3 linked regions of the Callithrix jacchus genome follow. The protein of the gene in region 1 purifies or fractionates together with the protein of each later gene. This does not show direct contact. Links are inferred from orthologs where the notes say so. Each region holds a gene or a part of one and is shown in the gene's direction. Other genes may lie near its edges.

Region 1 (10,065 bases):
CACCACTGCTCGGTCACTGCGACTTTTGTTTAACTAAGACTCGTGATTTTAAAGACTATAGCCTTCCATGTGGGCTTGTCCGAGACTTCCTCATGTTTTGAGTCAAGTCATGCACGCTTGACAGGAATCTCACAGAGTGATTCTGTGTTCTCATTGCATTCTAGCAGGGAGTACACCATGTTCCATGATTGGTGATGTTAACGTTGATCATTGGTTAGGTTTTGTTTTTATGAGATGGAGTCCCGCTCTGTCGCCGGGCTGGAGTGCAGTGGCGAGATCTCGGCTCACTACAACAACCTCTGCCTCCCTGGTTCAAGCGATTTTCCTGTCTCAGCCTCCTGAGTAGCTGGGATTACAGGCATGCACCAGCATGCCCAGATAATTTTTGTATTTTTAGTAGAGATGGGGTTTCACCACATTGGCCAGGATGGTCTTGATCTCGTGACTTCATGATCCGCCTGTTTCGGCCTCCCAAAGTGCTGGGATTACAGGTGTGAGCCACCGCACCTGGCCTGATTAGGGTTTTTTGCTTGGCTGTGAAGTGATGCCTGCCAAAGCATATCCACTACCACCACTGTTCAGCGTTGTGCTGAAGATCCCAGCCAGTATAACAGAGCAAAAAATAAAGAACTGGTGTAAGAATTGGAAAGGTGGGAATAAAACTATCATTATTCTCTCTCTCTCTTTTTTTTTTTTTTTGAGATGGAATCTTGCTCTGTCGCCCAGGCTGGAGTACAGTGGTGTGATCTCTGCTCACTGCAACCTCCACCTCCTATGTTCAAGTGAGTCGCATGCCTCAGCCTCCCCAGTAGCTGGGATTACAGGTATGTGCCACCATACCTGGCTGATTTTTGTATTTTTAGTAGAGACAGGGTTTCACCAGGTTGGCCAGGCTGGTCTGGAACTTCTTGACCTCATGTGATCCGCCTGCCTCAGCCTCCCAAGGTGCTGGAATTACAGGCATGAGCCACTGCACCGAGCCAACTATCATTATTCTCAAATAGCATGGTTATGTATGTAGAAAATCCACAAGAATGGTTACAGATAAACTATTAGAATTAATAAGTAAATTTCACAAGATCTCGGGATATAATGCCGACACACAAAACTCTATTGTATTTTAATATATTAAAACTAATGATTTCACACCTGTAATCCCAGCACTTTGGGAGGCCGAGGCAGGTGGATCACAATGTCAAGAGATCAAGACCATCCTGGTCAACATGGTGAAACCCCGTCTCTACTAAAAATACAAAAAATTAGCTGGGCATGGTGGTGCGTGCCTGTAATCCCAGCTACTCAGGAGGCTGAGGCAGGAGAATTGCCAGAACCCAGGAGGCGGAGGTTGCAGTGAGCGGAGATCACGCCATTGCACTCCAGCCTTGGTGACAAAAGCGAAACTCTGTCTCAAAAAAAAGAGAGAGTGAAAACACAAGCCACAGGGGAAGATATTCACCACAGACATATCTCACAAAGATTCCTATCTAAAAAATATAAAGAGCTCCTACAAATCCATTTTTTTAAAAAGCCCAATAGAAAAACGGGCAAAACACCTAAACAAACATTTCAATAAAGAGGTTATTCAAATGAACATAAATATATTTTTTAAAGTTCTCAACTATGTTAGTAATCAGGGAAATACAATTAAAACCACAATGTCATACCATTACCAATCTACCAGAATGGCTAAGATTAAAAAGACAGACAATACTAAATGTTAGCAAGGAGTTTAAGTTGGTACAACCACTTTGGAAAACTTATGTTCTACTTAAGCTGAACATAAGTAAACCCTATGACCCAGTAATTCCATCCCTGGGTATATATCAGTATATGTGTTCAAAGACATGCATTATAATGTTTGTAGGTATACTATTTATAACACAAAAGGTCCAAAGTAAAAATTAACCAAATGCTAATCAACAGCAGAATGGATAAGTAAATTGTAAAACATCCACAATTAACTACTATATTACAGTGAGAATAAATGAACTATATCTACACACAAACACAATGTTAAGCAAAATATATGTAAGGTACTTCGTTTGCATAAATACAAAATGAGGCAAAGCAAATCTATACAAGATGTCAGGCTAATAGTTACCCTTGGGGCAAGGGTGGTGGCTAGACTAAGACGGGAGGAGGGCTTCTAAAACGCGACAATGTCCTGTTCTTATGAGGATGTTATTTGCTTGAGTCTGTTCAGTTTGCACTTTTCTCTGTGTATATCATACTTCAATAAAAACTCAAGAAGAGAGGCCGGGCGCGGTGGCTCAAGCCTGTAATCCCAGCACTTTGGGAGGCCGAGGCGGGTGGATCACGAGGTCAAGAGATCGAGACCATCCTGGTCAACATGGTGAAACCCCATCTCTACTAAAAAAAGTACAAAAAATTAGCTGGGCATAGAGGCACTTGCCTGCAATCCCAGCTACTGGGGAGGCTGAGGCAGGAGAATTGCCTGAACCCAGGCGGCAGAGGTTGCGGTGAGCCGAGATCTCACCATTGCACTCCAGCCTGGGTAACAAGAGTGAAACTCCGTCTCAAAAAAACAAAACAAAACAAAACAAAAAAAACTCAAGAAGAATCAAGTCAAGGTGGATTATAGAACTAAATGTGAAAGGCAAAACAATCTTCTAGTAGGTCACATAGGAAAATATGATGGGGGTAAGGAAAGATTTCGTAAGGCACATGCATGTGTACGCACACCCAACCCATTGACGTAAAGAAAATAATCGAACTACATAAAAATCGGAAACTTCTCAGCCGGGGGTGGTGGCTCATGCCTGTAGGCAAGTGGATCACTTGAGCTCAGGAGTTGGAGACCAGCCTGGACAACATGCTGAAACCTCATCTCTACAAAAAATACAAAAATTAACCAGGACTGTTGACCTGTGCCTGTAGTCCTGGCTATTCAGGAGGCTGAGGTGGGAGGATCTCTTGAGCCTGAGAGGTCGAGGCTGCAGTGAGTCCTGATTGAGCCTGAGAGGTCGAGGCTGCAGAGAGTCCTGATGGCACCACTGCACGCCAGCCCAGGTGACAGAGCGAGACTGTGACTCAAAAGAAAAAAAAAATTCTAATCATCAAACAATACCATTAAGAGTGGAAAGGCAAGCCACAGAGCGTGTTCATATCCTTTATAAAGAAATTCCCCACATCAGTAAGAAAAAAGGCAGACAACTCCGTAAGGAAAAAACTGAGTAAGGGACTTGAAAAGGCACTTAACAAAGGAAGCTATCAGAATGGGCAACATACACATGAAAGGTTCTCAGCTTCATTAGTTATTAGAGAAAAGAAAAGAAAAGCAGTAGAGCAGTAACCCCACACACCCATGAGAACGACTAAAGTGAGACACTTAAAATGCCGACACGGCTGAAGCTGGAAGCCATGAAAACCCTTACACGCGGAGGGAGTGTGTATTTCAGCCTCTTAGCATGACTGTTGGGCATTACTTATGGATGATACATATCACACCCTAAGTCCCAGCAATTCCACTCCAGGAGAAACTCATCCACATACCCGAAAATTTACAGCAACATTACTCAGAATAGCCCTAAACTGAAAACAACCTTGATGTCCATCAACAGCAGAATAAGTAATTGAAAATTACAGTATAATATATACAATGGAATTTTCTTCAGCAGTGCAAGCAAACAAACCATCTCTGTATGTAACTTGGATGGACTCCAGACATAACATAGACGCAAAGAAACTAGGCCAAAAAAAAAAAAAAAAAAAAAAAAAAAAGGATACTGTGGGATTCTATTTATTTTTTCAGTTTTAAAAATTTATATTTTTTATTGTTATTTTTTAGTTTTTTCCAAATTTTTTTTACTTTTTTTTTTTAATTATACTTTAGGTTTCTGGGGTACATGTGCTGATCATACATGATTGTTGGGTAGGTACACACATGGCAAAGTGGTTTGCTGCCTCCATCCTCCCCCACCCCATCACCTACATCTGGCATTCCTCCCCATGTTATCCCTCCCCGACCTGCCCCCACTCCCCGCTGTCCCTCTCTTGTCCCCACCACAGACCCCAGTGTGTGATGCTCCCCTCCCTGTGTCCATGTTATCATTGTTCAATGAGAGTTAGAACATTCGGTGTTTGATTTTCTGTTCTTGTGTCCTTTGCTGAGAATGATGGTTTCCAGATTCATCCATGTCCCTATGAAAGATGAGAACTCATCGTTTTTTATGGCTGCATAGTATTCCATGGTGCATATATGCCACATTTTCCTTGTCCAGTCTATCACTGATGGGCATTTGGGTTGCTTCCAGGTCTTTGCTATTGTAAATAGTGCCGCTATGAACATACGTGTGCATGTGTCTTTATAACAGAATGATTTATAATCCTTTGGGTATATACCCAGTAACGGGATTGCTGGGTCAAATGGAATTTCTAAAACGAGTCTGTGGTGTTGAGTTTGCGGTTGCCTTTGCGAAGAGGGAGGTTTTCAAAACAGTGGGTTTTTTTTGGATCCCGGCGTCGGCTATGCAGTTGTGTTCACTCTGGTCATTAGTCACGCTGTAAACACCTGATTTGCACACTTTTCTGTATATCATACTTTATATGAATATTCAGAAGTCTAAAGGCCGCAAACCTAACGGCAAACCCTACCGTGCCCGCGACCGGGTTGCACTGGCGGGGCGGTGGAGTTGTCCCAGCGACCTGCCCCGGGCGGGTCACCTAGCCCGGGAGCTCACGCTGTAGCCTGGGGCCAAGGTCTAGGCTCGGGACAGGTACCTGAACTCGTCGACCCTTCACTGAAGCCCACGGGTCCCCGCGCCTGCTGGGGACAATCACAGCTTCCCCTCCCACCTCAAGGTGAGCTAGTGCATGAGAAAGTTCCCCTCGGGTGTTTCCACATTCGCCTTAACTTTTAAACACCAACGTCTGGAATCTGAGGTCCATCAGACTCCAGATACACCCCAGGAAAGAACCCAGAAACAAACACGTCCCCAGCGCGCGCGCCAGGACTTGGGGCCAGAACAACCCCGGGGGCGTGGCTCTTCGATTGCTTCGGCCTGGCGGTCGAGCTGCGCGCGCACTCGGCGGATGCGATTGGTGCTGCCTGGCGGCGCGGCGCGGCGCGGGGCACGTTGGGACGCAGGAGGCAGCGTCCTTTCGGCTACGCTGGGAAGCCAGAGGCGGCAGAATGGTCAAGCTGACGGCGGAGTTGATCGAGCAGGCGGCCCAATACACCAATGCGGTGCGCGACCGGGAGCTGGACCTCCGAGGTGAGTCCGGGGGCGCGGGCGGGCAGTCCCAGGGCGGCACTGCGCCGCCTTACGATCCGCGCTCCGCCGCGTGCACCGAAGGCCGGAGCTTGGCCCGCGGGTGGGTAATCTAGACCCGGATCGGGCTGCGCCGAGACCGCCCTGCCTGATTCTTGCCGTTGTTGCCAAGCGCGCGTCCCGTTAGGCTCTTGGGAGCCTTCTGTTACTGCTGTGCCTCCTGAGAAGCACGGGTGATTTCATTACTCCCTGCTGCATGCTCGTGGGGCTCTGTTAGGCCTTGCTTGGCTGTTTCGTAGCGGACTCTGAGGGCCGGGAAGAGCGACTCATTAACGGTGGTAACCCTAGTGCAGGGCGAGTGATTGGTTCTCAGTACTTGCCGCCAGATGATATTGTGAGTGTAGATAGGATATGTCTTCATTATTCTTAATGTGATGGAAGAAACTAAGTCCCCGAACAAAAGCGATTGTTTACCCCAGTATTTTCTTTCTTTCTTTCTTTTTGAGACGGAGTTTTGCTCTTGTTACACAGGCTGGAGTGCAATGGCGCCATCTCGGCTCACCGCAACCTCCGCCTCCTGCGTTCAAGCAATTCTCCTGCCTCAGCCTCCTGAGTCGCTGGGATTACAGGCACGCGCCACCATGCCCAGCTAATTTTTTGATTTTTAGTAGAGACGGGGTTTCACCATGTTGACCAGGATGGTCTCGATTTCTTGACCTCGTGATCCTCCCGCCTCGGCCTCCCAAAGTGCTGGGATTACAGGCGTGAGCCACCGCGCCCGGCTACCCCAGTATTTTCTACTTAGTAGCTTTAATTGTTTGGCGTTTCCCCTTCGTGAAGACGTTTTAAAGATTGAACTGTTTCACCCAGGCTTCCACCGCCGGGTGCTGTGTGTAAGTTGCGGAAGCGCTCACAATTATTTAGATTCCTGTACTATTTCAACCTTAGTAAGACTTGGTAAGAAATTGGGAGGGCAGTTAGCTAGTTGGCATTTCAGGAGACCGCTTTAGAAAGAATGTGAAGAGCAACTTCTCTGGGGTACGGCAGTGCAGTCGTAGCCTGAGATTCCCACGGGGACCTATGGTCTCGGGATTTGCTTTGATTTCTTGCTGACCTTTGGGGAATCGCATTGTTTTGTGTTGTGTTGTGTTGCGTTGAGATGAAGTCTTGTTCTTTCCCCTTTGCTGGAGTGCAGTGGTGTGATCTCGGCTCACTGTAAACTCTGCGTCCCTGGTTCAAGTGATTCTTGTGCCTCCGCCTCCCGGGTAGCTGGGATTTCAGGCATGTACCACTGCGCCTGGCTGATTTTTGTATTTTTAGTAGAGATGGGGTTTCACCATGTTGGTCAGGCAGGTCTTGAATTCTTGACCTCAAGTGATCTGCCCCCGTTGGACTCCCAAAGCGCTGGGATTACAGACGTGAACCACCGCGCCCAGCCCCCAGTTTTTTCTTTCTTTCTTTCTCTCTCTCTCTTTCTTTCTTTCTTCTTTCCTTTTTTTTTTTTTTTTTGTCTGAGTTTTGCTCTTGTTGCCCAGGCTGGAGTGCAATGGCACAATCTTGGCTCAATGCAACCTCCCCCTCCTGGGTTCAAGCGATTCTTCTGCCTCAGCCCTCCCCGCCTCCCCCGAGTAGCTGGGATTACAGGCATGTGCCATCACGTCCGGCTAACTTTATATTTTTAGTAGAGACAGGGTTTCTCCATGTTGGTCAGGTTGATCTCGAACTCCGGACCTTAGACGATCCACCCACCTCGGCATCCTAAAGTGATGGGATTACAGGCTTGAACCACCGCGTCTGGCCCAGTATTTTTATTTTGTTGAATTTAAGTTTCTTAGAGAAAGGTTCAGTTCAAGAGCAAATCATCACTTACGGTGATCTCTGCCATTTCTCTCTGTGGAGTGCGTGCAGTGTTGAGAATACTTCTTTTGATGCAGTACTTGTAGTACAGCCCTGAGTTGTGTACTTTAACTTTGGCTGAGTTTTTTTTTTTTTTTAAATAGACCTTGTTTCTTTGGAATATTTCTTTTAGCTCCTAACATAATAATGCCCAACTTAGACAAATTAAGTATGTAAACCATTGACCTCCAACTGTGAATTGGAGCTGGGGGAGAGAAGGGAGAACTGTCATCTTGAGGCTGTTCTGATGGGTTCTAAGAATCTGGCCTGTGGGGGTGCAAGAGGTGGAGAACTGTTGTCCACGGTGTTGGAACCTTGTTTGGGCACTGAAACTGAGCAGCCCGAAGTGGTAAATTCCTGTTGTGCTGCTTCCGCCTAACTAGCCCTGAAGACGTAGAACAGTGTGCACCTTGTAAATGGTCTTATAAATGTTAGCTAACTATCTCACCTATCATTACTGTCCTTGTCCCTGTTGTCATCAGACTGTAAGCTTCATGGCACTGGGGACTTGCCACCCTCATTCAGCATTTTATCTCTAGTACCTTGTGCAGTGGCAAGGCGTAGGAAACATGGCGTAGGTGCTAGGTAAGTAATACTTCCTGAGTGAATCAAGGCCTGGAGTCTGATTCCTGTGAAATACTGCTCATCTTTTAAGAGGCTGTTTAGTTATATTAATACCTCTTGTGTGTTTTTTTTCCTCCATTTTACAGGGTATAAAATTCCCGTCATTGAAAATCTAGGTGCTACGCTAGACCAGTTTGATGCGATTGATTTTTCTGACAATGAGATCAGGAAACTGGATGGCTTTCCTTTGCTGAGAAGACTAAAAACATTGTTAGTGAACAACAACAGAATATGGTAAGGGTCTGCTGGGGAAAGTAATTTTCCACCTGCGGTAAATGTTGCAGTGTTCCCTGAAGTTGCAGCACATACTACCAGTTAAACCTATGTGTTTCTTTTTTTTTAGTTTTTATATTTTTTCCATAATGGGAGCCATGTTCAATACATGTTTCTTCTTAAAATGAGAAATGAACTTTTCCTTTAGAGATGCAGAGATTAACCTGGCGTTAGTCTAGTCTTACTTGTGTCTATTCCGAAATCATGTGTTTTTGTTTTCGTGGTAAGTTTCTAATTTAAATTAAAAACATGGTGCTTTGTACACATTTTGGCTTCTAAAACACTTATCAAAGGGGTCATAGTAAAAGGATATAGAAAAGTAACGATTATATTTTTGACTGAGCTTCTCTGATATTTTTTTTTAACTGCAGCTAATTTCTAGACTGTTAATTACTGAAATTGGGGTCTTTTTTGGCCCTGCCTTCATCAGCTCTGTGTAAACTTTATTGGAAAAAAAAGCACTCGGTTTATAGATACTGTCTTTAAAAGTGCTGGGTGGTGAGTGGGATTTCCTTCAGATAGAAATCTTTTTCATAGGTTCATTATTCCCCTGTAGTGTAGTTGCTGTGTCTTGTACCTGAGCTGTGAATGCAGAATAATTTGCATTTCTCTGCTGCCTGCACAAAAAGTCATGAAGAGAGTTAAGCAGTTTGTGCCGCCCAGAGTTGCACCTTTTCTCAGGTTCCGCTAGATGGGGCGGCAGCATTAGCTCCAGGCAGTGTCCCGTAGGCCTGGGTTCGTCCCACTTCTGTCACTGACCCTGTGTCCTCAGAAAAGGGTTCTTCTTTTTGCCTTGTTTCCTCTTCATCAGGGTGTTGGAAGAAGGATCTGTAAGTGTCTCTCAGATTCTCTGAGTAGGGAGGTAGATGAAATTGTTAGCTTATTTAATTTTCATTTTTGCTAAGACTCTCTTTTTATTTTAGCCGTATAGGTGAGGGACTGGATCAGGCTCTGCCCTGTCTGACAGAACTCATTCTCACCAATAATAGTCTCGTCGAACTGGTAAGCTGCATAGAAGGAAAATGTATTTGGTGGGTGGAGTTAAAGGTACTATGTGCTTCCTACAGAAATTTACAAATTCTAGAAAATCTCACAGAAAATAATCTCCTCTTTTTTACCTTTTTCCTAAGTCAGGATCTGGGCCTTTTGGGTTCTGCAACTGTATGTTGCAAATATTTTCCTACTGTTACTTATCTTTTGACTTGGGATGTCTTGTTAGAAAAGTTCCTAATTTAGGTACAGTTCAGTTTATCAATCTTTTCCTTTATTGTAGCAGTTTTGATGTTTAAGCTTCCCCTAACCCAGGGCCATAAAGTCCTATGTCATTTGCTGGAATTGCAGTGTCCAGTAACTCAAACTGAGATGTGCTAGAGCTAGAGAACACACGCTGGATTTCAAAGACTTAAGTGCAAAGAAAAGGAAACTCAGTAACGTCTTTATATCGATGTTGAAATGATAATGTTTTGGATAATGGCTTAAATGGCATATTACTAAAATCGGCTTCGCCTGCTTATTTTAACATGGCTACTAGAAAAGTTTAGATGACGTGTGTGTGCATGAGATCTTGTTGAACAGCTCTGGTCTAGAAACCTTGCTTTACTCTTCTTCAGATGAACCGTCCCCTTGGAACTTGGGGCAGGTGTCCCCTGCACTATGTGGATATGATTATTTTGACCTATTTATTTATATACTGTTAAAATTTCTGCTCTTAGTATCTAATTTTTAACGTAACTGACATACTGTATATTGTATTGTAACCTAAATTTTCACTTAAACACTGGACGTTTAAATTCATGTTGTAGGCCAAGTGCCATGCCTCCTGCCTGTAATCTAAGCACTTCAGGAGGCCAAGGTGGGAGGATCAGTTTAGCCCAGGAGTTCTAGACCAGCCTGGGCAACATGGTGAGACCTCTTTTCTATGAGTAATTAAAAAAAAAAAAAAAAAAAAAGGCTGGGCGCAGGGGTTCATGCCTGTAATCCCAGCACTTTGTGGGGGCTGAGGTGGGCGTATCACCTGAGGTCAGGAGTTCGAAACCAGCCT
Region 2 (9,965 bases), on another chromosome or scaffold:
AAGGCATAAGGTTTACTGCAGAACTGTGTGCTTCAGATTCCACTAGGGATGTTACATAATATATGATACCTTTTCTGAACTTAAAAAATTCCAAATTCTGAAACAAACCTGGTCCCCAAAGTTTTGGAGGCATGACTACATACCTGTACCATCCTGAATTAATATACTTTGACTCCAAAGGAAGCCTATGTAATGTTTATTTAGCCTGCCTGCTCCTCAGTCAAGCTTTTTGAAATGGTGAATATCATTATCTTTGAGGATTTTAGGTGGGAACTGTGTTTAGCCAATGAGGATGAATCTGTTACAGACAGAGTTAGGCATTGGTGGTATGTAAAGATAGGAGCCACCTCTTAAATGATATCATTTTGGTAATCTTCCAGTCAACCTATTTAAAAAACTAACCTGGAATCAGGGCTGTGTGTTAAAAGGTACTAGGAAGTACAGGAACTGTTAAGACCATATCCATGTCTCTTGAGGTTGCCCTTGGGCTTTGACTGGAGAGCCCTTGTTGTTTGCTTAGCTCTACAGTTGTGCAAATTGTGTCGTTCTGATGGTTTTGTATTTGCCTTTCAGAGGTATATGGAGGTCAGTGGGAACCTGAGGGATTTGTATGATGATAAGGATGGGTAAGTGACAGTCACAGCTAATCTAAGAATTGGTGTTTCTGAGGAACCCTAGTTAGAGGACTGACTTTGTGCTCTATCTTCTTTGAATTTTTCCTGAAATTGCAGATTACGAAAGGAGGAGCTCAATGCCATTTCAGGACCCAATGAGTTTGCTGAATTCTATAATAGACTCAAGCAAATAAAGGAATTCCACCGGAAGCACCCAAATGAGGTATGAGAAAAGAATAGGTCTTTTCTCCAGACCTATTCTTAAAGCATACTAAAGGAAAGGAGTAAAGGAAACTGGACATGTGCTATTCTAATGAACTTCAAGAAAGAACTTGACATTTAGCTGCAAGGACCATAGTTAGCTAACATTCTACAACTGCAGTGTTTTCAGCATCCCCCCTCATCTTTTAAGCCAAGGCCGCATTTCATGTGCGGCCCCCAACCAGTGACTGAGCACAGTTTGGGTACTGGGCCAGCAATTTGGTCCACTGTGAGACTCCTCTGATTATTAGTCTTTGCTCCACAGCTCCCTGTTGGGTTGGTCAAGATTTTGTCCAATCTGCATGTGGTTTAGGCTATCCTGGCCTAATCCTGCTTTCTCTTCCTTTTTACCTTCACAGAAATTACTCTTCCCAATAAATTGTGCTTCTAACTCTGTCTTGAAGTCTTCTACCTAGAGGATCCAGTTAACAAGATAATTTTACTCATTTCCAAAGTTCATTTCACATTAAGGATTCAGCTCAGAGGCAAACTCTTTCATGAAATATTTTTCCTAGTCTGCCTTCTGCCGAAAATCAGTCTTTCTTTATGATCCTATTGGTTTTTTTGTTTTGAGATAGAGTCTTACTCTATCACCCAAGCTGGAGTGTAGTGGTGAACCACTCTGTCTTTGGGTTTAAGTGATTCTTCTGCCTCAGCCCTCAAGTAGCTGGGATTACAAGGCAGGCAGATGCCACGTCCAACTTTTTTTTTTTTTTTTTTTTTTTTTTTTGAGACAAAGTCTTGTTTTTGTCGCCCACGCTGGAGTGCAATGGCTCGATCTCAGATCACTGCAACCTCTGCCTCCCAGGTTCAAATGATTCTCTTGCTTCAGCCTTCTGAGTAGCTGGGATTACAGGCACCTGCCACCACACCTGGCTAATTTCTTTGTGTTTTTAGTAGAGGCAGGGTTTCACTACATTGGCCAGGCTGGTCTGGAACTCCTGATCTCAAATGATCTGCCTGACTTGGCCTCCCAAAATGTTGGGATTACAGATGTGCACCCCTATACCCGGCCCCTAATGTATTTTATGACAATAAATGTCTGCCCTGCCATACCGTAATGTAAAGAGCAGGATTTATGTCTCAATTATCTAGAACCCACACGGCACTTTACACAGCTGACCAAAGGGGTCAATGGGGCAAGATATGGCTGCAGGGAGGGTGGAGAAGGATGAGTCAAAAGATTATTCTGAGTTTTTGTGACTATAACTAGAAAGTTGTTTGTTCTCTTGATAGAAATAAAAGGCTAGCCATGGTGGCTCATACCTGTAATCCCAGCACTTTGGGAGGCTGAGGCAGGTGGATCACCTGAAGTCAGGAGTTCAAGACTAGCCATGGCCAACATGGTGCAACCCCATTTCTACTAAAAATACAAAACTTAGCTGGGCATGGTGGCAGTTGCCTGTAACCCCAGTTACTCAGGGGGCTGAGGCAGTGAGCCAAGATCACGCCATTGTACTCCAGCCTGGGCAACAAGAATGAAACTGTGTCTCAAAAAAAAAAGAAAGAAAGAAAAGAAAAGGAATAAGGAGGTAACCCATTTGCCATAAGAAATAAGTTTTTATATATGTAAATTTTTAAATAGAGGTATATCTAGGAATAGAAATGTCTCTTGAGCAGTTACCGCCACACAAGAAGTAAAGGCTTATGATTTAGAATTGGGAATCATCACATTGATTTGTTGGTTGATAAATCCTTGAGTTCTGAGGCAAGAGAATGTGAAGGGAGTCTGTCAGAGCCTCTCCATATGCCTTGGAGCTCACTTGTAATAAGGTGGGTCATAAAAAAAGGGCCTGGGAAGACCTTCATCACTGCTCCAGGTGTTGTCAAAAGAGAGATTCAGAAAGGCAGTCATGGTTACCGATTGATAACTTCCAGGATGGCTATTTAATTCAAGTAGTAGGAATAGAAATCTGGTCACAAGGTAAAGATGGGTAATGGAGAAGTAGAGGTATGGAATGTGGAATGTGCATTGGAAAGGCTGGTAGGGGCCGGAAGCAGTGCCTCATGCCTGTAATCCCAGCACTTTGGGAGGCTGAGGTGGGTGGATCACCTGAGGTCAGTTGTTCAAGACCATCCTGGCTAACATGGTGAAACCCCATCTCTACTAAAAATAGAAAAAATTAGCTGAGCGTGGTGCGACACGTCTGTAGTCCCAGCTACTTGGGAGGCTGAGGCAGGAGAATCGCTTGAACTCGGGAGGTGGAGATTGCAGTAATCATTCCACAGTACTCCAGCCTGGAGACGGAGTGAGACTTCATCTCAAAAAAAACAAAAAAGCATACATGTTTGAAGGAGCACAGGGAAAAAGGAAGATATTAAATATAGCAAAAAAAAAAAAAAAAGAGGCTATTTATTGTAGTGCAGAGGTAAATGAAGGCACCCTCATGCACATAGCCCCATTGAAGGATAGAATGTGAGGTCTTCTGCTAACCAAGAGAGAATAGATAAATACCATTCTGTTGTGTTAACCTTATTCCAGCCATGGTCAAAAGGTGATGAGGAATAAATGGTTGAATGACTGATTAGAAGGATGTCCAAGGTATACCAAGTGCCAGAAACAGGTCTTTATGTAAAAAATAAAAATCTGTGCAGGCATGAATGTGCTTGTACAAATACATATATTTAAATCCATAGAGCAGTGGTTTCCAAACTTTGTGCATATTTGAGTCACCTGGGGATTTTTAAAAAGTACTGATACTTAACCATCCTCTGATTTAATTGGTATTGGGTGCATCAGGATTTTTTTTTTTAAACTCCCCCAGGTGATGCTAATGTGCAGCAAAGTTTGGCAATCACTGGCATAGAAAAAACTGTTACAGTGGTTACCTGTTCCGAGGATAATTAATAAAGGTGGACTTTTGTTTTTTCTTTTTGTATTGTTTGAGGTTTTCTGAGCATATGTTACTTTAGTGAGTTTTACTCAAGCAGTATAAAAGTGAGGGGAGAACAAGGTAATTGAAGAACTACTGTTCTGGGTAGACTCTTAGTGAAAAATCAAGGCCATATATAGCATCAGAAGTCCAACTTTCTGTGTACTTCATTTCTGTGATCTTGTAACTTTTACATTGAAAATTCTACCTGAGGCTGGGCGTGGTGGCTCATGCCTGTAATCTCAGCACTTCGGGAGGCTGAGACAGGCAGATCACTGGAGCTTAGGAGTTTGAGACCAGCCTGGGCAACATGGCAAAAACCTGTCTCTACTAAAAATATAAGAATTAGTCAGGTGTGGTGGAGTGCCTGTAATCTCAGCTACTTGGGTGGCTGAGGCAGGAGAATCGCTTGAACCCAGGAGATGGAGGCTGCAGTAAGCCAAGATTGTGCCACTGCACTCCAGCCTGGGCAACAGAGCGAGAGTCCATCTCAAAAAACAAAAAAAATGAGGGCCGGGCGCGGTGGCTCACGCCTGTAATCCCAGCACTTTGGGAGGCTGAGGCGGGTGGATCATGAGGTTGATACCATCCTGGTCAACATGGAGAAACCCCGTCTCTACTAAAAATACAAAAAATTAGCTGGGCATGGTGGCAGGGGCCTGTAATCCCAGCTACTCAGGAGGCTGAGGCAGGAGAATTGCCTGAACCCAGGAGGTGGAGGTTGCGGTGAGCCAAGATCATGCCATTGCACTCCAGCCTGGGTAACGAGTGAAACTCTGTGTCAAAAAAAAAAAAAGAGAAAGAAAGAAAAATCCACCTGAGCTTTCACTTTTCCCTTCAGATCTGTGTGCCAATGTCAGTGGAATTTGAAGAGCTCCTGAAGGCTCGAGAGAATCCAAGTGAAGAGGCACAAAGTGAGTAGAGGTGAACATTTCATTCAACACCAGCAGCAGTTACAGGTCATGCAGCCATGGCCTCAGATATTGATAACCAGGTTTTCTTGTTGGTTTTGTCTTTGCTGCTTTCTGGGCTAGAGTGACATTCTAAATTGGTCTTGGGCAAAATGTTTCTTTTGTTCTCTCCTACCTAAAATTTACTGGCTTGGAAAGCCAAGCATTATTCACTTTAGTTCACAATACTAAAATGAGTCAGCCCATGTTACCTTGTAAGAGAACACTCACTTTTGATCTCACTTATTGGAGGTTATATTGTGAGCACAGGGAGGATATTTGGGTGACATGCTGCCTCAAGAAACTAGGAACAAGCAGTCCATTTGAAAAGGTAAGTTCAAGAGAGTGGTCTGTAGAATCTGAATCATTGATGTATTTGATTCCCTCAGACTTGGTGGAGTTCACAGATGAAGAGGGATATGGTCGTTACCTTGATCTCCATGATTGTTACCTCAAGTACATTAACCTGAAGGCATCTGAGGTAAGACCTGGGAGAGGAGAGAGAGATTCTGATTCTAGAGGTAAGTCAGGACACTAGGCTGGGACTGCTAGACGTGAAGCCATTGTAGAGTGTCTTGTGTTTTCAAACTGTTATGTAAATAATATCAAAGAGGTGATAATGAAATACTATTCAAAATGAAAATTTTCTACAGTGAAAACATTTATTAATAAATTTTATTTTTATTTTATTTTTTTTGAGATGGAGTTTCGCTCTTGTTACCCAGGCTTGAGTACAATGGCGCGATCTCGGCTCACCGCACCCTCAGCCTCCTGGGTTCAAGCAATTCTCCCGCCTCAGCCTCCTGAGTAGCTGGGATTACAGGCACGTGCTACCATGCCCAGCTAATTTTTTGATTTTTAGTAGAGACGGGGTTTCATCATGTTGACCAGGATGGTCTCGATCTCTTGACCTAGTGATCCACCTGCCTTGGCCTCCCAAAGTGCTGGGATTACAGGCTTGAGCCACCACGCCCGGCCAATAAATAGTATTTTTTTATTTTGAGATGGGGTCTTACCATGTTGTCCAGTCTGTAATGCAATGGTGTGATCTTTGCTCACTGCAACCTCCACTTCTGGGCTCAGCCTTCTGAGTAATTGAGACTGAGACTACCACCACACTTGGCTAGGTTTTTTTTTTTTTTTTTTTTTTTTGTAAAGATGGGGTTTTGCAGTGTTGCCCAGTCTGGTCTCAAACTCCTCACCTCAAGTGATTCTCCTTTTTCGGCCTCCCACAGTGTTGGAATTACAGGCATGAGCCATTGTGCCCAGCCCATTATCAATACAACAAGTTTTGTTTTTTTTTTTTTTGAGATAGGGTTTGTTTGTTTTTCTTTCTTTTTTTTTTTTTTTTTTTTTTTCTGAGACAGAGTTTCCCTCTGTCACCAGGCGCCAGGCTGGAGTGCAGTGGCGCAGTCAATCTTGGCTCACTGCAACCTTCGCCTGGGTTCAAGTGATTTTTCCGCCTCAGCCTCCCGAGTAGCTGGGACCACAGGTGCGTGCCACCACGCCCGGCTAATTTTTTGTATTTTTAGTAGAGACGGGGTTTCACCATGGCCAGGATGGTCTCGATCTCTTGACCTTGTGATTCGCCCACCTTGGCCTCCCAAAGTGCTGGGATTACAGGCGTGAGCCACTGTGCCTGGCCTAAAATTCTTATTTTTAAAAATAATTATCACGTTCCTGTTTTAGGTACGTGGAAGATAAAACAACTTGATCTTTCTGTCAGCAAAAAGCTATTTAATGTCTTTTCTTAAAGATGTTTAAACATAGCTTATCACATTAATGTCTTTTCTTAAAGATGTTTAAACATAGCTTATCACAAGAGATGAGGTTTAATATGACAATATCAGAAGAGTCACCAGGAAATACATGATTAGATTCTTCATGGAGTTGTGAGGAAATGTCCCAGAAGTACAGTGCCCAAACTTGAAGTTCCATGGGGGCAGGTCAGGTCCCTTGTCTGTTTTGTTGTCTTCTATACCCTGTACTTGGTACAAAGATGCTCAATAAGTGGTTACGTGTGTGAGTAAATGGCAACTTTCAGGACCTTACTTTAGGATATTAGAGTCTTTAACCAAGAGCCCAGCATGAGGTAATGATCAACAAATGTTTCCTTTAGTTTACTGTTTATTAATGTGATCTTTATTTTGTAAAGTTAATTATGTCTGATATTTGCCTGATATGTTTATTTTGTAAAGTTAGTTATGTCTGATATATTCCTACTTTATTTTGTAAAGTTAATTATGTCTGATATTTTACGGTCCAGTGAAATTAACACTCCAAATTGTAGTAGGATTGAATTATGGGAAAGCAAAAAAACCAAAATGGCCAGCCCTTGTTACCTTGTTAGAAAACACTCAATTTTGATCTCACTTAGGAGGTTATAACTTGTTCCAGTATAAATACCTAACTAAATTTTGTATCATTTCTTTCCTCTTTTCAGAAGCTGGATTATATCACATACCTGTCCATTTTTGACCAATTATTTGACATTCCTAAAGAAAGGAAGAATGCAGAATATAAGAGGTAGGTGTTAAGAGCTTCTATGCCTCTCCTGGATTTGATTAGAAGACAGTGTGAAGGTTTTGAGGGTGAAGTTACGAATTAGTTGCTTGGAAGGCATACATGAAGGCGTACTTCCTTCATACATGAAGGTTTATTGGAGGCTAAGGATTATAAATGATGTGGTTTTAAAACCTTCGAGATACTCTGGTTGTGGGCAAGGGTGTATCTGTGGACATATCTTCTATCTTATGCCCATACTGTTCTTAATTTTGTCTCACTGTAGAAGGAACTCTCCCACTCTGGGACTTCTGTGTTTTTGGAGTTTAATGGGAAAAAAATTAGACTTTCTCAGATTGTGACTGGAGTGAGATGCTTGGGTATGATGTATAAGTGAAAAATGTATGTTTTTGTTAGTTGCTCCCCTTATTAGTGATTTTATACCCTTTCTCTCTTTTTCTTATTTTCATTTTCCTGAAATATTTTCTGTGCGAGATTAGCATTATTTCATGAGAATAAAAGGAGGTAGGAAAGGTCAGAATCAAAATGATATGTCAAGAAAAAAGTCCGTTATAGGTTCATTTAAAAATGATTATTAAAAAATACTATTACTAGAATTATAAGTACTATTTATTCTACAGGGAATATAACAAGATACCAAAAATATAAACCCTTTTTGCTTTCTCTTTGTTACGTGTTCCTCTGTAGATACCTAGAGATGCTGCTTGAGTACCTTCAGGATTACACGGATAGAGTGAAGCCTCTCCAAGATCAGAATGAACTTTTTGGGAAGATTCAGGCTGAGTTTGAGAAGAAATGGGAGAATGGGACCTTTCCTGGATGGCCGGTGAGCTACAGTGGGGTGTGAATGGTGGACATGCCAGGGAATTGAACTGATTATTTTCCTTTATCTTGAGCTTCCACTTTAGGGCATTAGGTATCAATTCCTTGGTATCATTTGTGACCATGAGGTATTCCCTGCCGAGTATGCTAGGTTTTTCTGTGTGTACTTTGGAGCAAGATTATCAGGGCCCACTTGCCTTGGACTGTGCCCAGATTTTCGCCAATCATATCATTACTGCCATGTGGTTTCTGCTTACCAAAAGCTTATTCAATCATATGTTAGGAATCTGTATTCTTGCTTGTGGGGATAAACCTGAGTTTTTCCTGAACTCCCCAGGCAGGGAATGTGGACCAACTTTACCTTCATCCTAAACCTGTTTTGTTTTTTTGTTTTTTGGAAGCAAGTTTTCCATCTTGCTCCTAGGCTGGAGTGCAGTGGCACAATCATACCTCACTGCTGCAGCCTCAACTGCCTGGACTCAAGAGATCCTCCCACTTTAGACTCCTGAGTAGTTGGCACATGCCACCATACCCAGCTAATTCATGTATTTTTTTGTAGAGATGGGGTTTCACCATGTTGCTGTGGCTGATCTCTTAACTTCTGAGCTCCAGCAGTTCACCCACCTTGGCCTCTCAAAGTGTTGAGATTACAGTTGTGAGCCACCACGCCCGGCCTAAACCTGGACCTTAATAAATAACATGTTGTTCTTCTTTCCAGAAAGAGACAAGCAGTGCTCTGACCCATGCTGGAGCCCATCTTGACCTCTCCGCATTCTCCTCCTGGGAGGTATGTTTCCTTCAGCGGTAGTACTGTTCTCCCTGTCTATCTTTCAGAGGGACCACTTGCTCTCCTGTCTTTAATACCGTGGTTGTGTTGTGATAAGGCACTCTTTCCTGGGATCAAGCATCTACAAAGAAGGTAGCAAGGTAAAAAGAAAAAAATAACTACTTGGGAAACTGAAATAATCGCTCTAACTACATTAAGCTGTAGTAACAGTAATAGTTAATACCAGTATGTTTAAGTCTGAAGATGACTACAGGCTCAGTCCTCTGGAGAGTTTAGACTTACTGCCAGATCGGCTATGAAATGTGTGGTCCTGCCACAGCCTCAGGAACACCCACCCACTGGCCTGCATTTGTTGTTTCCCAAAAATCTCAATTGTACTTTTTCTCTTTGTACAGGAGTTGGCCTCTCTGGGTTTGGACAGATTGAAATCTGCTCTCTTAGCTTTAGGCTTGAAATGTGGCGGGTAAGGAATGGTTTTTCTATCAAAACTGTTTGATTTACTGTGTGTTTGCACAGTCTTCTAAGTAGCTCTGATTACGTATTTTTTTCTGTTGCTCCAAACTGCAAAAATAAGCAAGCCTGTGTGATAAAGTAACCCTGAAATCCTTTGCCTGTTCTGTCTCCTTAGGACCCTAGAAGAGCGAGCCCAGAGACTATTCAGCACCAAAGGAAAGTCCCTGGAATCACTTGATACCTCTTTGTTTGCCAAAAATCCCAAGTCAAAGGGCACCAAGCGGTGAGTGGCTGGGGTAGCACCTCTCTTTGTGGCTTTTGAATGTCATTCCCATGCACAATTTTTAACCACAGTGGAGATTTTAAATTAGAGTCTGCTTTATTCCCATTATTGGTTGACAGATTCAGCCTGCTCTTTTGTATTTTAAGTAGAGACGGGGTTTCACCATATTGGCCAGGCTGATCTTGAACTCCTGACCTCGCAATCTGCCGGCCTCGACCTCCCAAAGTGCTGGGATTACAGACGTGAGCCACTGCGCCCAGCCAAAAAATATTTTTCTAAGCTTATTTTTGGTAATGAAAGTTGAATCTAATTCTTGAGCTGCATACTTATACAGGGTCTTTTCTTTTTTTTTGACACACAGTTTCGCTCTGTCACCCAAACTGGAGTTCACCTCCCAGG
Region 3 (9,965 bases), on another chromosome or scaffold:
GATTACAGGCATCCACCACTACACCTGTCTAATTTTTGTATTTTCAGTAGAGACGGGGTTTCACTGTCTTGGTGAGGTTGGTCTCAAACTCCCAACCTCAAGCCATCCACCCTTCTCGGCCTCCCAAAGTACTGGGATTACATGTGTGAGCCACCGCACCCGGCTGTGGATATGAAAAGTCTGTAAGGAAGCTTGTTTAACTTTGTTAGTTAAACCCAGAAATTCCCCAGCGTATCTGATCACAGAACATTTTTTGACATAACACACTAAACTTAAGCTCAGAAAACATGGTTGGAAATCAGGAATTCAATCTGATCTTATCATCAGAAAATTGACTCCAAGAAAAGATGTTAGGTCCAGGACCATAGTAGAATACACAGAGTCAGGACCGGAACCCAGGTGTTCCATTAACCCTAAACCATTTATTTCTAGGATACCATACTAGCTCAAAATGTAATAAAGTATTTGTTTTTTTATTTTTATTTTTATTTTATTTTTTGAGACGGAATCTCGCTCTGTTGCCCAGGCTTGTGTACAGTGGCATGATCTTGGCTCACTGCATCCTCCATCTCCAGGGTTCAAGCAATTCTCCTGCTTCAGCCTTCTGAGTAGCTGGGATTACAGGTGCCCCTGCCACCACACCTGGCTGATTTTTATAGTTTTAGATAGAGACGTAGAGGTGGGGTTTTGCATTTTTAGATAGAGATGTAGAGATAGGGTTTCACCCTGTTAGCCAGGCTGGTCTGAAACTCCTGACCTCAGGTGATCTACCTGCCTTGGCCTCCCAGAGTGCTGGGATTATAGGTGTGAGCTGCTGCGCCTGGCCAGTAAAGTTATTTTTAAATTTATCTGTTGCCATGAAACAAATCAAAACTTAGCAGGTTAAAGCAATACACATTTATTATCATAGTACCTGAGGGTCAGGAAATCAGCAGCAGTTTAGCCAGGTAGTTCTGGCTTAGGCTGTCATGAGATTGCAGTCATCTGCAGGCTTGGCTGTTGCTGGATGATCTGCTTCCAAGATGGCTCATTCACTCTGATGTTTACTGGATGCCTCAGTTTTTCACCTCTTTGCCTCTCCTTATCCACATGGCAGCTGGCTTTCCCCACAGTGAGCGATCCAGGAGAGAGAGCAAAGAGAAAGCTTTAGTGTTTTTTATGACTAGTCTCTGAAATTACACACTGTCACTTCCACTTTATTATTTGTGGGTTTTTGTTTTGTTTTGGAAACAGAGTCTGGCTCTGTCACCCAGGCTGGAGTGCAGTGGCGCAAACTAAGCACACTGCAGCCTCTGCCTCCTGGGTTCAAGCAGTCTTCCCACTTCAGCCTCCCGAATAGTTGGTACTATAGGTGTACCATCATGCCTTGTTAATATATATTTAAAAATGTTTTTATGTAGAGTGGAGGTCTCACTATATTGCCTAGGCTGGTCTCATACTCCTGGCCGCAAATGGTTCTCTTGCCTCAGCCTACCAAAGTGATGGCATTACAGACATGAGCCACCATGCCCAGCCATTGTATTAGAAGGAAGTCCTTAAATCCAGCCCACACTCAGGAAAAAAGACTATGAATTTGTAGCCATGTTTTAAAAACATCTGTCACTTCTCGATATTATGGTAGTTTCCCCTTATCTGTGGTTTTTGTTGCCATAGGTTAATCACGGTCTGAAACTATTACAGTATTTTGAGAGAGAGAGACCACATTCATATAACTTTTATTACAGTATATTGTTACAGTTGTCCTATTTTATTATTGTTAGTCTCTTATTGTACGTAATTTATAAATTAAACTTTATCATAGTTATGTATGTATAGGAAAAAACAATGTATGTCTGCGTGACACTATTTGTGTTTTTAGGCATCCACTGGGGTTCTTGGAGTATATTCCATGTGAATAAGGGAAGACTGCTGTACTTTTAACATTTTTTAAAAGAAATCTCGTGATAAAATATGGTGATTGTTTCTTTGGGTGTTAAAGTAATATGTAATTTTATGAAAAATGAACAGTACTTAACATGAATAAAATCAAAAGTAAGTTTAGCTCTATCAGCTAGCATTGTATACTTCCCCCATTCCTGATTTTATGAATTTGTTCAGATTGTAATACCATGCATCCTATTTAATTTAAAACAGTTTTACTCAGGTAAATGTTGAGTTTTAAAAGTAGTTGATAAACTGACCCCCTGTTGGTTTTTTGTTTTGTTTTCTTTTTATGAGACAAGGTCTCTCTGTCAGTCAGGCTAGAGTGCAATGGTGTGATCTTGGCTCACTGTAACCTCAACCTCCTGGGCTCAGGTGATTCTCCACCTTAGGCTTCTGAGTATCTGGGACTATAGGCGTGTGCCACCATACCTGGCTAACTTTTATATTTTTTGTAGAGATGAGATTTTGCCATGTTGCCCACACTGGTCTCAAACTCCTGGCTCAGGTAATACTCCTGCCTTGGACTCCCAAAGTGCTGGGGTTATAGGAGTGAGCCACTGTGCCTGGCCATAACTAAAACCCCTTAATAGGTAGTGAATGTTTTAGGAAGAATCTAAGGCTGGGTGTGATGTCCTATAATCCCAACACTTTGGACGGCCAAGGTGAGAGGATAGCTTGAGCCCAGGAGCTCAATACTCTCCTAGACAAGGAGACCTTGTCTCTATGAAAAGTTTTTTAAAAATTAGCTGGACGTGGTAGTGCATGCTGTGGTCCCAGCTACTCGGGAGGCCGAGGTGTGAGGATCCCTTGAGCCTGGGAGTTAGAGGCTACCCTGTTTCAAAAAAATCAAAAAGTTAAATGGACTGTTTTTATTTCTGTAAAAGACTTTTGTAAATTAACCTAATTAAGTTTTAAGCCCTAAAGAAACTTCTGTGCATTTGAGATCTAGAAGATACAGCTTTATTAATCTAATGTAAATTTCTGAAGGGGCTTGTATTTCTATAGTCAGTGATATCAGTAGTCATTGTTGGGCAAAAGGCATTTTTTTAAAAAAGAAATGTACATAGCAGTAGCATTCATGTGACTTCTGTCAAAACAAAGCTTTCATCATTGCACTTGCCTTGATGGGGAAACAACCTGCATTTATTTCCTTTCTTGATTCAAAGGAATAAGGGAATAAGCCTTTTCTGGTTCAGTTACCCAGTTTTCAAGGCAAATCCAATTGCATTTTATGGGTTAGGAAGAGTTTTGAGAGCTTTGCCTTAGGAACGTGTTATACTATTCCCCTTGAGAATTATTGACTGTATTTTTAGTTGGCCACTGACCTTGAGTTATAGCCCTTTTTCCAGCCTCTTTCATTGCAGTATAATTTGGTCTCAAGGCTTGAGCCCTGGGGCAACTCAGCTGCATCATATTTGCTGTTCTGTCTTGACAGCACATGTTTCCTCATTTATTGAACAGGGATGTAGTTTCTGGGCCTCTCAGGAGTCTGATGAAGTGGTTCATGCAGTGTTGTTTCTCTGTTTCTGTTTTTTTTCCCACCATAGACAACTGATATTTGAAATGAGACATGTGACTTTTAACAAATAGGTGGTATATTTTCCCATTGATCTACGTAGTAGGATTTGCATAAATATTTCCAGCCTGTTGGTGGAAACATTCCTTATTTATTTCTGTAGAATAACCTAATTTGGTATTTCTAATTCAGTTTTTTTACTTGTCCTTTTTTTGCTTTTGATCTAGATTGATGAGCAAATTGAAAGCATGTTTAATTCAAAGAAGAGAGTAAAGGATATGGCTGCCCCTGGAACATCAAGTGTTCCTGCTCCAACTGCAGGAAATGCTGAGAAATTAGAAATTGCTAAGAGATTGGCTCTTAGAATCAATGCTCAGAAGAATTTGGGCATCGAGTCTCAGGTATTAAGTAATTTGTTCCAAGTCTCAGTCAATACATTTTTTTTTTTTTGAGACAGAGTATTGCTCTTGTTGCCCAGGCCAGGAGTACAATGGTGTGCTCTCAGGTATTAAGTAATTTGTTCCAAGTCTCAGTCAATACTCTTTTTTTTGAGACTGAGTTTTGCTCTTGTTGCCTAGGCTGGAGTGCAATGGCATGATCTCGGCTCACCACAACCTCTGCCTCCTGGGGTCAAGTGATTCTCCTGCCTCAGCCTCCCGAATAGCTGGGATTATAGGCATGTGTCACCATACCCAGCTAATTTTGTATTTTTAGTAGCAATGGGGTTTCTCCATGTTGGTCAGGCTGGTCTCGAACTACCGACTTCAGGTGATCCATTCACCTCAGCCTCCCAAAGTGCTGGGAGTACAGGTGTGAGGCACTGCACCAAGCTAAAACTTTTAATAAGTTCTTTGATTTTATTTTTCAAGGATTATGTTGAGCACAAGTAAACAAGTTGTCCTGGACATTGAGTTTGTGAGAATTTAACATTCTCAACATAGGATTTTTTTTTATAATTGTATTTGGATGATTTTTCTAGTGCTATTAACTGAGGACTTTATGCCTGTTCTAGACTTTCTAACTATTAGCCATAGGTAGTTTTATAGAGTAGTATTCTGATGGGTCTTAACAAAACCGTTAAGATGTATGAATAATTCTGTTTCTTTATAAGCTTTCATTGGGTTATTGGGCATACAACTCCCTGGATGTACAAACACCTAGTTAAATGACTCAAATTAACATGGGCTTAAATGGAGAAATGTAATTTTTACATATTTCATGATACCTCTTTCTTGGAAGCGTATTTGTTATTTTGAAGCTTTTGAGTCAGTCATTATCACATTTTTAATGCTGGGTTGGGTCATGGGGAGGAAGGAACTCAGTGATGGTAGTAGTATAAACTTTCAAATTTGGAGGAAACTCCTAGGAGTTACCAAGTATGTAAATGATTCTGGAAATATTTACTGTATCTGACATCAAGAGTTAGTTAATTATCAGCTGCATCTCTATGATCTAGTAGAATATATAATAGAGAGTTGAATATTTTCCAGTTTTTTTATTCACAGGGAAAAACATTAAACTATGTTATAATTATGTATTGCTAAATCACATGTCAGTGGGGCTATGCATTAGAAGTGTTTATTTATTAAACTTGCATAAAAGTTAGTAGCTTTTCAGAGAATAATTTGTGGTGGGTTCCCTACTCTTGTCTCTGCCCTCATTTGAGATTTAACTGTAAGTCTTCTCTAACTACAGGATGTGATGCAACAGGCCACCAATGCAATTCTTAGAGGTGGCACCATTCTGGCTCCCACGGTGTCTGCAAAAACCATTGCAGAACAACTTGCTGAAAAGATCAATGCCAAGCTCAATTATGTGCCTTTAGAGAAACAAGAAGAAGAGAGACAGGATGGTGGACAGAATGAATCTTTTAAGAGATATGAAGAAGAATTAGAGATCAATGACTTCCCACAGGCAAGTAACAGTTTTAAACCTTTTTTTATTGTGAAGCAGAAAAAGCAAAAATCTCATCTTTAAAACCCATGAATATTTTAATAGCTACTTCACTTTTTACCTAAATGGAGGATGTAACAATAGAAATTTGACTTTTATGAATATGTTCAGTGTACCTTAGGATCTAAATGAACTTATGCAGGTATGTGTTAATAATGATCTTTGTTTTGTTTTTGTTTTTTTGAGACGGAGTTTCGCTCTTATTGCCCAGGCTGGAGTGCAGTGGTGTGATCTTGGCTCACTTCAACCTCTGCCTCCTGGATTCAAGTGATTCTCCTGCCTCAGCCTCCCGAGTAGCTGGGATTACAGGCATGTGCCACAACACCAGTCTAATTTTTTTTGTATTTTTAGTAGAGATGGGGTTTCTCCATGTTGTTCAGGCTGGTCTCGAACTCCCGACCTCAGGTGATCTTCCTGTCTTGGCCTCCCAGAGTGCTGGGATTACAGGAATGAGCCACAACATCATGCCACCACGCCTATCCAAGAATGATCTTAATATTGACCATAGGGCAAAGCGCGGTGGCTCACACTTGTAATCCCAGCACTTTGGGAGGCTGAGGTGGATGGATCACCTGAGGTCGGGAGTTCGAGACCAGCCTGACTAACATGGTGAAACCCCGTCTCTACAAAAAAAAAAAAAAAAAATAGCTGAGCGTGGTGGCACATGCCTGTAATCCCTGCTACTCGGGAGGCTGAGGCAGGAGAATCACTTGAACCTGGAGGTGTAGGTTGTGGTGAACCAAGATCTCACTGCCTCAACAACAAGAGCGAAACTCTGTTTCCAAAAAATATATATATATATTGACCATAATGTGATATCAGTCAGCCTAGTCTTTGTTAGCACTCCTGGGTTTTTTTGTCTTGTTGTGAAGTGATTTTTGTTTTCCTTACCTTTTCTTTTAGACTGCTAGGTGGAAAGTTACCTCTAAGGAAGCTCTACAGAGAATCAGTGAATACTCTGAAGCTGCAATTACAATCAGAGGAACATATTTCCCTCCTGGCAAAGAACCCAAGGAGGGCGAGCGGAAGATTTACTTGGCAATTGAAAGTATGTGCTGTTGGTTCTGTTTCAGTCTTCAGTTTAGATCAAGGTTGATGTAGATGTAATAGACACAGAGAGAATGTGAGGTCAATTCTAGAGAGAACTGAAAGTAAGGAACGCCTCTGACAAAAAAATTTCATGTCATTTGAGGTCTTTATTTAGAAATTCAGTACGTATGTAAAAGTAAATGATCTGTTTGTGAGACTCAGTTTTGACAAATCAAATTTGAAAATTAAAACAACATTTTGAGGACTGACCTTTTTATGCTTAGGTATATTCTGGCCTAAGTTTAGGTTGGAATGTAAATCAACTATATTAATCCACTTAATGAATGTTTATCTAGGCAAATATTGCCTGTGAAATTATGCTCATGAAAGTTTATACCTTTAACAAAATAACAAGTAGACAATTAACGCCATAATCTAATGGATACAAATAATACATTATTACATTATCTAACAGCAATCAGGTTTTTCTTTTTTTTTTTTTTTTGAGATGGAGTCTTGCTCTGTTGCCCAGGCTGGAGTGCTGTGGCACTATTTTGGCTCACTGCAACTTCTCCCTTCCAGGTTCAAGCAATTTTTCTTCCTCAGCCTCCCGAGTAGATGGGACTGCAGGCGCCTGCCACCATGCCTGGCTAATTTTTGTATTTTTAGTAGAGATGGGGTTTTACCATATTGGCCAGGCTGGTCTCACAAACTCCTGACCTTTAATCCACCGGCCTCAGCCTCCCAAAGTGCTGGGATTACAGGTGTGAGCCATCATACCTGGCCGGTTCTTAACTTTATTTCATACATTTATGAATGAATTTATTCCAGAGGCAATTTCCACTTTTAATTATTTTTTCACTCAGGCTGGAGTGCAGTGGTGCAGTCTCAGCTCACTTCAGCCTTAACCTCCAGGGCTCAAGTGATCCTCTTACCTGAGCACTTCCAACTAAGACTACAGGGCCGTGTTACCACACCTAGCTAATTTTTTTGTATTTTTTGTAGAGAAGGGGTTTTGTTATGTTGCCCAGGCTGGTTTTCAATTCCTGAGCTCAAGTGAACTGCCTCTGCTCAGCCTCCCAAAGTGTTAAGATTACAGGCATGAGCCAATGCACCCAGCCTATTTTATTTTTTCTGATGTGTTACTCCGTTGCATAGTAGGATACCCTGTCACACTTTTTGTTTTCCCTGAGACTGAGTCTTGCTCTGTCGCCCAGAGCTGGAGTGCAGTGACGCAATCTCGGCTCACTGCAACCTTTGCCTCCTGGGTTCAAGCGGTTCTCCTGTCTTGGCCTCCCAAGTAGCTGGGATTACAGGTGCACACCACCACACCTGGCTAATTTTTGTATTTTTATTAGACACGGGGTTTCACCATGTTGGCCAGACTGGTCTTGAACTCCTGACCTCAGGTCATCTACCCACCTTGGCCATCCAAAGTGCTGGGCTTACAGGTATGAGCCACTGCGCCTAGCCAGGTATTTTCTTAGTGGTTACCCAGTGGATTGCAATTAACATCTTTTTTGTTGTTGTTGTTGTTGTTGTTGAGACAAGTGTCTCTCTCTTTTGCCAGGCTGGATTGCAGTGGCACAAACTCAGCTCACTGCAACCTCCGCCTCCCGGGTTCAAGCAATTCTCTTGCCTCAGCTTCCTGAGTAGCTGGGACTACAGGCGCATGCCACCAATTTGGGTTGTTTTTTTTTTTTGTATTTTTAGTAGAGATGGTCTTTCACCATGCTGGCCGGGATGGTCTCGATCTCCTGACCTCGTGATTCACCCACCTCGGCCTCCCAAAGTGCTGGTATTACAGGTGTGAGCCACCGCACCTGGCCAATTTCACCTTTAAAAAATTCTTTTTTGCCTTCATTTTGGAAGAATACTTTTCTAGCCATAGAATTCTTGCTTGATAGTTTTGTTTTGTTTTCCCTTTGGTGCTTTGAATGTCATTCCATTGCCTTCTGGCCTCCATGAATTCTGAAAAGAAATCTGATGTTAATCTCATTGAGGATCCCTTGTAATAAGTGATAGGTTGCTTTTCCAGAATTTAGTAGTCTCTATTCTTTTTCATGTGTGGCTACTGATGTCTTTTGATAGTTTTATTTTGTGCTTCTGTGTGGGTCTCCTAGAGGGTTTTTGGGTTTTGTTTTAGATTTTTGGGTATGCATATATACATATTTTTCATCAAATTTGGGGATTTTTGTTAATTCTTCAGCTGTTCTTTCTGCCCCTTTGTATCTCCTCTGAAACTCACATTGTGCATATGTTGTTGAAATTGATGATGTCTTACAGGTCTCTTAAGCTTTATTCATTTTTCTTCATTACTTATTTTTTTCCTGCATTCTCTGATTTGATTACAGTTGACCTACCTTCAAGCTTAGTCATTCTTTCTTTGGTCTCATCAAATCTGCTGCTGAACTCTTTTAATGAATTTTTCATTTCCATGACAAAGTTTCTTTATTTCTATCTCTTTATTGATAATATTATCTATTTAATTGGACATCATTGTCCTGGTTTTCTTTAGTTCTTTATCTGTGGCTTTCTTTAGCTATTTGCATGTATTTAAAATAGTTGATTTAAAATCTTAGTCTAATAAGTCTAATACCTTGATTTCTTTTTTTTTTTTTTTTGTTATAAAGAAGGGGTTTCACCGTGTTGGTCAGGCTGGTCTTGAGCTCCCGACCTCAGGTGATGCACCCGCCTTGGCCTCCAAAGTGCTTGGATTACAGGTGTGAGCCACTGCACCCAGCCTAATACCTTGATTTCTTTAGGGACAGTTTCTGTTTATTTTTTTCCTGTGATCAGGTCATACTTTTTTTGTTTTGTTTTGTTTCTGGTTTTTTGTTTTTTTTTTTTTTTTTTTGCTTGCTTCTTAGTTTTTTGTTGAAAACTGGACATTTTGAATATTATCATGTTAATTGGAAATCAGATTTTTCCCCACTCCCTATTGTTTGTTCCTGCTGCTTATTGTTGTTCAGTGACATTTCTGAACCGTTGTTTTAGTAGTCTCTATTCTTTTTCATGTGTGGCTACTGATGTCAGCTAGTCATTAAGTCTAGCTTTTGCTTTGTGTTTGCACAGTCTGAGGTCAGCAGAGATGAGAGCTTAGGGCCTTCTCAGGTCTTTTCTGAGCATGTGCCCAGCCCTGGTTGTACACATGGCCTTTTAGATTCCAGTGAATGTGAGAGCTTTACAAAGCCCTTACTCCCCAAGGCATTTTATTCTCTAGCCTGTTCTCTCACAGTTTTTGTTTGTCCTTTGCCCCAGCTATTATTCCTTTCCAAAGGATAATGTCTACTGCATTTGCATTTTGACAAATACTTTCCTGACCTCTCTAGTATCAGCCCTGGGAGAGTTCTGAGTTGGGTGGGATAAAGGTAAGCCCTTTGAGTCTGTCTTTCAGGGAGCCATCAATGAGGTCAAAACAAGCAACTACTTTTTTGTTGTTGTTGAGAATAAGGTTCATTTTGGTACCAGGAATGTGGGTTGTTCAAAGTTGTGAGTGGGGAGTGGGTGGGAGTTGAAGAGATGGTGTCAAGGTAAGTTGAAA

What was found.
Region 2: the proteins of SNRPA1 (region 1) and SF3A3 purify together in Homo sapiens (affinity purification with mass spectrometry; 6 studies listed by BioGRID and IntAct, counting the BioPlex papers as one, with this or other methods). This does not show direct contact. The link is inferred for Callithrix jacchus from reciprocal best matches to the Homo sapiens genes SNRPA1 and SF3A3.
Region 3: the proteins of SNRPA1 (region 1) and DDX46 purify together in Homo sapiens (affinity purification with mass spectrometry; 3 studies listed by BioGRID and IntAct, counting the BioPlex papers as one, with this or other methods). This does not show direct contact. The link is inferred for Callithrix jacchus from reciprocal best matches to the Homo sapiens genes SNRPA1 and DDX46.

The regions. Positions count from the first base shown.
Region 1 is NC_133507.1:8,681,211-8,691,275, forward strand, and holds the start of SNRPA1 (U2 small nuclear ribonucleoprotein A'), read left to right. Parts: upstream 1-5,086; 5' UTR 5,087-5,152; coding exon 5,153-5,234; intron 5,235-7,837; coding exon 7,838-7,985; intron 7,986-8,947; coding exon 8,948-9,026; intron 9,027-10,065. UniProt on the Homo sapiens protein: Involved in pre-mRNA splicing as component of the spliceosome. Associated with sn-RNP U2, where it contributes to the binding of stem loop IV of U2 snRNA.
Region 2 is NC_133508.1:74,554,115-74,564,079, reverse strand, and holds part of SF3A3 (splicing factor 3A subunit 3), read left to right. Parts: exon of another isoform or gene 1-573; coding exon 574-626; intron 627-731; coding exon 732-837; intron 838-4,589; coding exon 4,590-4,662; intron 4,663-5,087; coding exon 5,088-5,179; intron 5,180-7,141; coding exon 7,142-7,224; intron 7,225-7,908; coding exon 7,909-8,047; intron 8,048-8,761; coding exon 8,762-8,830; intron 8,831-9,225; coding exon 9,226-9,293; intron 9,294-9,458; coding exon 9,459-9,566; intron 9,567-9,965. UniProt on the Homo sapiens protein: Component of the 17S U2 SnRNP complex of the spliceosome, a large ribonucleoprotein complex that removes introns from transcribed pre-mRNAs.
Region 3 is NC_133503.1:33,229,410-33,239,374, forward strand, and holds part of DDX46 (putative ATP-dependent RNA helicase DDX46), read left to right. Parts: intron 1-3,666; coding exon 3,667-3,843; intron 3,844-5,134; coding exon 5,135-5,353; intron 5,354-6,295; coding exon 6,296-6,440; intron 6,441-9,965. UniProt on the Homo sapiens protein: Component of the 17S U2 SnRNP complex of the spliceosome, a large ribonucleoprotein complex that removes introns from transcribed pre-mRNAs.